Saccharomyces cerevisiae S288C: one gene and its partner. The protein of the gene in region 1 interacts with the protein of each later gene in a biochemical or structural test. Each region holds a gene or a part of one and is shown in the gene's direction. Other genes may lie near its edges.

Region 1 (3,663 bases):
ACTTGAAATCGTGCATCATTTCTCGTAGCAAGACACCATCTGTCATAAACTTGACCTTTGTGTCCTCCTTTGCGGTAGAGTCAAACCTAATTTGGTATCCTACTTTATGACCATGGTCCCCCAATTCATTAGCTACACGTTCAGCCATGGACACAGCGGCCACTCTTCTTGGTTGAGTGATACCCACCATTCCTGGGTAATCTGGAGAATCTTCGGCACCAAACCCAGCCTCATATAAAAATTGTGGGACTTGTGTAGTCTTACCTGACCCCGTTTCACCACAAATAATCACTACATCATTATGGTGAATAGCCTCCATAATTTTGTGTTCTTCACCAAATACTGGTAGTTGAATTCTTGCTTTCTGAATTTCATCTGATCTGCTAACTTCAACATAGAAGGCTTTACGGGTGGAATTCTCGTTTATTGGAACATAAGCTTCTTGGAGACCATCATCTAAATCTTCCTTTCTAATTATCGGTTTATAATCGATGTTCAAAGTGGGAGTAACTAGCTCTTGATCTCTACCTTCCAATTTTTTTATTTCTTGATTGGCCCAATCCTTGAATTCGTTAGCAACATCATTTTGGTCAAATTTTTCTGAGCCAGTTTCACTATCTGCGCTTTCAACTTCTTCGAGTGGGTTTTCACTAGGATGCATTTTGTCTTCTTCTTCCTGATCCTCCTCTTCGTCATCATCTTCAGATGTCGTGTCGAAATCCATTTCATCTTCTTTCCCATGCTTCTTCAATTCTTCCATTTCTACTCGTTGTCTCCAATTATATTTCTTCTTCGGAGTTTTGCTTTCTTTGTTTATGACTTTTATATTGCTAAACCCAAAGCTAAGACCAGATCCACCAAATTTTGCTGGTCTATGATCAATAAAACCTGATGATTTCTTCTCCTCATTGTCCGTTGGTTTCGGCATACTACCAAATGAAGCCTCGAAATCATCTTCGCCGTCATCATCCTCAGAGCTCCCTCCTTCACCATACTCATCCCAAACTTTTGGTTCATATTCTTCGTATAATATTTCATTTGTTTGTTCATTTCCTCTTCCTTGACGTTCTAAACTCAGTGCTTCTTTGAATTCTTCCTTTTTAGTCTGCCTGCCCTCTCCTAACCTTTTAGAGCTTGTCAACAAACTTGTATCTATCTTATAATCTTGAAGTTTACCAATAATTGTCTTTCTTTCCTCTCTTTTTAATTGATGTTCAATAAATTTATCCAGTCTTTTCTTCTTCAATCTCGAAACTTTCGATTCCTTTGGGGTAAATAACTCCTGTAGTTTTCTTTTCTTCATTTTCTTTTCTTCTTCAGTGAGAGGTTCAAGAATTTCCGCATTGGCATTTGGCTCCGTAGTAGAACTCTCAGCGGGAGCTGAATCTGGGTTTTCTACTCTTTCATCGTTTTCATCCTGTCTAGTGAACTGCTTATTCCTAATTCTTTTCAGTTCTTTTAATTTGGCCATATGGCCGGATCTGGCTTTTTCATTAAACCTTTTTCTGTAAGTACCCATACTTATATTTCTTAAGACACTCTATTATTAGTATTGGGTTGTAATTGCATTTTTATAGCATATAGCACTTGCTATTAACAATAATATACTAATACTATAATGAGCTTTCAATACTCAGCTCATCGCCAATGAAAATTTTCGGAACACCCAATCATCATGATATGTTAGGCGCGTAAATATGAAGAATAACAGAATCGTTAATCAGAAGAGATGATGAAATCATTAAGTCTTGTCCATATCGAACTGGATAGAGTATGTAGCGCTCTAAGAATCTGTTAAATTGAAGTTTGATTTTTTGATATTGGAGGCTCCTATTTTCTAGTTGCTTTTTGTTTTCACTCGCAAAAAAAATGGCAAGATCTTTAAGTCAATCACTCACAGCGACTACCCAGAAGCTAAAAGGAAAGAAGAATGGTGGAAAAGGCAAGAATAAGCCCTCAGCAAAAATTAAAAAAACTCAAAAAGAGATGCTATATGGAATACTGAACGAAAGGAACATAAGACAGATTCAGTTTGGACTGAATAAAAAATTCTCTACTTGGTATGGGAGCGCCGTTTATTTCGATCCTGAAACAAAAAGGCTAGGGTGCTCCGAGACCAAGGGTCAGCTTTCCTCTGTTTCTAACAGCCAATACTGGCTAGACACTCTTTTCGTTTGTGAATACTGCTTCAAATACACGGATGATCAGACGCGGTTTGTAGGACATGTTGCAAGTTGTCCATTTCAATATCGTGTTCCAGGCAAAATAAAATACAAGAGTCCTGAATATACAATAAGAAGAGTAAAAGGATCCAAGTATCAACTCTTTTGCCAATGTCTTTGTCTTTTCACTAAGCTATATCTGGACAATAAATCCATGTATTTCAAAGTAGATCATTATGAATTTTACATAGTTTATGAAACTGGATCAACAAAGCCGATGGGATTCTTTTCGAAAGATTTAGTGTCATATCAGCAAAATAATCTAGCGTGCATCTTGATATTTCCCCCATATCAACGACGTGGATTAGGCCTTTTACTTATCGAGTTTTCATACAAACTATCCCAATTAGAAGGTGTAATATCAGGGCCAGAAGTACCGTTATCACCTTTTGGACTAATCGGGTACTTGAAATATTGGTCACAGATACTCTGTTGGCACCTTATTGAAGGTGACCTCGCCCATTATGATAAAGTGACCCTGGAGGATCTTTCCATCGTGACTGGAATGAGAGTCAATGATGTTATTTTGACCTTGAAGCACTTGAACTGTATTGGGGAGAATAACCAAATTTACTTGCAGTCATTGAATAGCTGGTTGAAACTACATGGAACAAAACGGAATTGGTTCAAATTAAAAGATGAATATTTGCTGATAGATGACTAGGAATCTATTCAGGATGTAACTTAATGGCATATGTATTTCAGGATAGAATATCGCTCGATGAATTCCTGTACAGACAACTACAAACGGACGAATTTTGTCTGACCAAGTTAAGAACAGAGAACTAATGCATAAAATTTGTTTTGCTGCAAAAGTTTCCCTTTTTTTAGAGTATAAATATCTTTTATAGCAAAAGACTTAAAACAGGTTCACGTTTTTATTAGCCGTTTTTGGGCCGGTTTTTCGATGACGAACAAGGACCAAACAAATACAGCATCAAAACAAATTCTAGAATAAGAAGGCAGAAAGGGTAAGGGCATAAAGGAAACCTTCTTTTGTGGTGATGTTGAACTGGGTTTAGCCAAAATTACAACACATATTAAAGTTTTGTTATTTTGCGATAAAGTTATTGCTCTTGAGCATCAAAGAAAGTGGGAGGTTAAACAGAGGAAAACACATTGAAATTTATTCAAAAAAAGATACCGCTATACAACTTTGGCCTGATACTATCTATAGACACGAGTGTCCATACTTAGCAGTAGATGTCCGGATTCGCAAAACTCAAGTCGTGGTTATACAAAGCTTCCCTTTTCGTTTCTTTGATACTTTTGATTGGGTTTTCAGTTGTTTTACCCATAGATTCCATTGCACAAGCTTCTAAATCAGAAAACAATGCCTTTAATACGTTCATTGTTGTAGGCGCTTTAGTTGTCTTTGGCGTTTTTTGTATCTTTATTATTATTGGAAGAATGCTATTTCATAAGAGTTGTTTAAAAGATA
Region 2 (4,060 bases), on another chromosome or scaffold:
TAGCTTGGACCACAAAACATAATGCAAATCCAGTAGAGGTTATGCAAACTGTTTGGTGAGCATAGTAATACCACACCCGGTATAATTTATATCTCTTGTTCATTGTCTGTATATAAGGTGTATTCGCATATATTAAATAGCCAGACGTTTCCCTTCAAAGCATTTTGATCCTGGAAGAGAATAGCAGTAATTCTGTCTAGACTACAGTATAAAAATAAATAAAAATGGGCATCACAGAAACAAAAAGGACAATTGCATTAACTAGAAATTGTTTGATCGAACGCGTATCATTCACAGCGTATTTACTATGTGTCAATGATTTTTTGGATTTCGATTTGGAAATACTTGTAGGTAATGGCAAATCTGAGGTGTTACCATCAGGTCGTGTAAATACTCTGTTCATTATGGTTGCTACGCGATTATTAAAAGATTTTGGGAAAAAATGCATGTATGCGATAAAGGCAGCAGAGAATAATAATCCCCATAGGTACATTCTGATTGCCTTATAGGGATCTGGCATATAGCATAGCTCTGTTTGGTAAGTTTTTGATGCATACTCTCCGCCGGCATTTACCATTGTCAAATCTGAAGGATTATATAAGGAGAGCAATTGAATAGCAGGCCTACTGATCCCCATGTTCATTGCACATGACTTTACTGTAATTTCTTGAGCATTTTTAGTTTTCCCCTGAAACGGATATGAGTGTGATATCTGACAATGGTCATGATCATCCCCGGAAAATAATATTTCTGGTTGAATTTTCGTTAAAATTTCTTGTGATATATCGTTTTCTATAACTGTCTGGTACTGGTGCCCTTTCTGAATAGGAAAAGGTTCTTTGGATTCACGTAGCTGACCGCACGTTTGCTGTTCTGGATCCCTCCATAATGGAACGTGAGTTAAAAGAATTCTAGGAAGCGGATGTGAACCCATTGCAAAATTATCCAAAAACTGTCTAGGAACCCTCGAGACATTCGGATTTGTTTTATCAGAAAGCGAAATTGTATCTAAAAGTACAAAGGTATGATTTCCAGCGTCTAATGAGGAGGAAGTTTCTCCAAAGTAACTAGAAAATCTCTGTAAACTCGATTCAACAACTGTGTCTCCAAAACCAATATCGTGATTACCTGGTAAAGACATGACCGTTCTTCTCAGTGGCTTCTTGGGGAATATTTGGTTGAATCGTGTGTACTCTTTAATCCATTGCTTATCATCCCAGTTTCTCCCTCCATCAAATAGATCACCTAGGAAAAAATTGCTATCAGGATCCAAGTAATACTGGACATATTTCCAATTTCTCCTGTGATAATGGTCAACAATCACTCTTGTAAAATAATTAACTATTTGAGGCCTCCCAGGATATGAATATTCGTCCATTATTTGTGGGTCTGCAAATAAACCCACCCTATGACTTTCAGCGCCTTCAGGCCAATCCTCCCAAGTCGACCATTGGCACTTCTTCATTGCTCTCTTCACAACCACTGATTCATAATAAGATATTAATCCTAACCATAAGATCCATACAATAGATATGTATCTCCAGTAGATTCTTAACCTCTTCTTGCTCCTGCTTTTTGATTTCTTTTTCGAACGTGATTTATAGTGGGCCTTATCGTCGCTCTTCTTGCTGTGTGTAGATAAAACGCTCTTTGACCTGTTACGATATACCATACTTCCTAGAGCTTATTGTCTAATGTATCCAACAGATTAGTAGAAGCGGTACTGTTTTCCCTTTCTTTTTGGTTATTGTTGTTTCCATAATCGTTCGTTCTACATTTTTAAAAATAAGAAAATCTAACCCGCGAGTTGATTTCAGCGATCTCAAAACAAAAAGTAGCAAGATTAAAAAGGAAAACCGAAAATTTCTACAGCATTAAAAGCATATGAGAGTTCATCAATGGGTATTTTTCAATCAATAGAAGAAGCAAATAATACTTCTGAGAGATTGCTGAGGTCTGAGATTAAAAATAGTCATGGAGAATTTGAAAAATTCGATTTTGATACAGAAGAATACGAAATTAACCCTAAAAGGAAGTTAAGATTAGTCAGCAGGATAAACCCAAATGCTGGACATCTAAGGAAATCTAAGTCCTGCTTTACTGTAGATGAGCATGTTGACGAAACGCGTTGTCAGAAACCTGTGATGAAGTCGCCGTTCATGAGTAATGTCGATGATGAGATCAAGAAAAAGAGAGAGACAATTACAAAGATGACACTAGAAATTGAACATCATGAATTGAGCCAGAATATTAGAAAACCAACTGATGATTTGCTTCCTGATAGCACGTATCAGCCTTACCACAAGAAAATGTTGAAGCAAGAAAATAGAATGATTCAATCGGACATCGTAAATGGTGAAAATGAAGCAGACAGGCTTTCATTAATTTCAGACAGACTGGGTATGTTGAATTGGGAAGTAACATTACAGAAGGTTACTAAAATAAATGACCCCACTGACGAGAATGAAATGGAGACTAAACGTTACCAAACTAAAGAGCTGATTGATTCAATGTTACATAAATTTGAATCTATGAAAAAAAAAAGCCGCAATTTAGCTAGAAGGCCAGCCTCAAGTGATTCATTGTTGAAATTGGTTAGTGGCAAAGATTGGCCCAAGATATATACTCGAATCGATCGAACTTTTATTCCAGATTACGCAAGCTCCTCTGACGAAGAAGAAGAAAAAATAACCGTTGAGGAAATAAGGGAGAGACGCCTAAAGAAGAGAGAGCAGCAATGCGGTGGTTCCATTATAGTACTGCTGAGCGATCATCAATCACAAAAGGGAATGACACGGTTTGCTATCGTAGCTGAGCCGCTCCGAAAACCGTATTTGATTAAAACCTCCACTAAAGAGAGAAATTCATGGAAAAACAAAGTTCCCACAAATCCAAAAAAATTCAAGAAAGCTCCTCGAATATCAACGCAAATTGCTGTGAAAAGAAGAAGGGAAGTCATCCCGTTAACGATGGAGGTGGAACCAGAAGTCATTCGGGATATAAGGCAAGATACACAAAAGTCTATGAAACTGAATGTTAAAGCGGAGGAAATATCTGTGACAGAGACTGTCAAATCAAAAGAAATGAATGCCTTAAGGAACAATGCTGCATCTATAAGTCCAACTCTTTCAGAGAAGGCACCTTTAGGTTCAATTTCATCTTGCACTGCATCTCAGATTTCACAAAGGTCTTCTGAGAATGTGGGTGCTATTATTAACAATATCAACCCAAACTTAGCAATAGTGCCCTCTTGTAACGAAAAGACCTTTGTAAAAACACACAATGGAATGAAAACTAACTCAGGTATTAATATTTTGCCTGTCCGCAAGAAAAAAAAGGTTTAGTTTGAACTAATATAATGCGATGGTGTAAATGAAATTCAATATTTCATAGTTGCTTCTCAAAACCTGCGTGAAAAATCAGCATGGAAAATGCAAAATGATTATTAATACTATGTATATTTTAAGTGCAATATATTTACGTATCCTTCACGTGTTTTCTAAAATATGTAAGAAGCTTGCCATTTGATGAATACTGTTCAATATTCTCCAACTGTGCGGAAAACTTACTGATATCCGGCTTCTTTGCAGGGAGTTGTTTGTTCTTCAATTCTGATTCTTCTACAATATCTAATAAAAGCACATCATCCCTTAACCCGTATAAGTGCAGTAGATAAGTACCCAAATCCTGTAAGCTTAACTGTATTAAAATTATTCCACTGAGCTTTTCTTCTGATACGGATAGCGATGAAACATTGTCACCTATTTCATCCATGATAACCTCTTTTAATCTATCTGTAGTTAAATCAATGGTTTTGAGTAGGGACACCAAATCGTACTGAGAAACAAATGTGATATTCGAAATGTTAGTGCAGAGAACGAAAATGGACTTTTGAACACTACTATTTGTTGATGTTAAATCGGTGATATCATCTAAATAGGATTGCATGATTCTCTTCAGAACTTTAAAGAACTTTGGGCCATTTTTTTTTCCAGTTCCACATAATTTTTCAAGTAAAGACAAAAAATGATCGTGCTTGTAATAATACTTCTCATCTGTA

Evidence for each region.
Region 2: the proteins of SAS2 (region 1) and SAS4 form a complex in vitro, tested with the Saccharomyces cerevisiae proteins (2 studies listed by BioGRID).

What each region holds. Positions count from the first base shown.
Region 1 is NC_001145.3:521,552-525,214, reverse strand, and holds SAS2 (histone acetyltransferase), read left to right. Parts: upstream 1-1,869; coding exon 1,870-2,886; downstream 2,887-3,663. Other genes in the region: ATP-dependent RNA helicase ECM16, read right to left, coding at 1-1,519; DLT1 (Dlt1p), read left to right, coding at 3,426-3,663. UniProt on the Saccharomyces cerevisiae protein: Histone acetyltransferase (HAT) subunit of the SAS complex, a multiprotein complex that acetylates 'Lys-16' of histone H4 and 'Lys-14' of histone H3. The SAS complex is however unable to acetylate nucleosomal histones.
Region 2 is NC_001136.10:825,194-829,253, reverse strand, and holds SAS4 (Sas4p), read left to right. Parts: upstream 1-1,898; coding exon 1,899-3,344; downstream 3,345-4,060. Other genes in the region: YDR182W-A (uncharacterized protein), read right to left, coding at 1-103; putative lipid phosphatase CDC1, read right to left, coding at 197-1,672; cohesin-loading factor complex subunit SCC2, read right to left, coding at 3,478-4,060.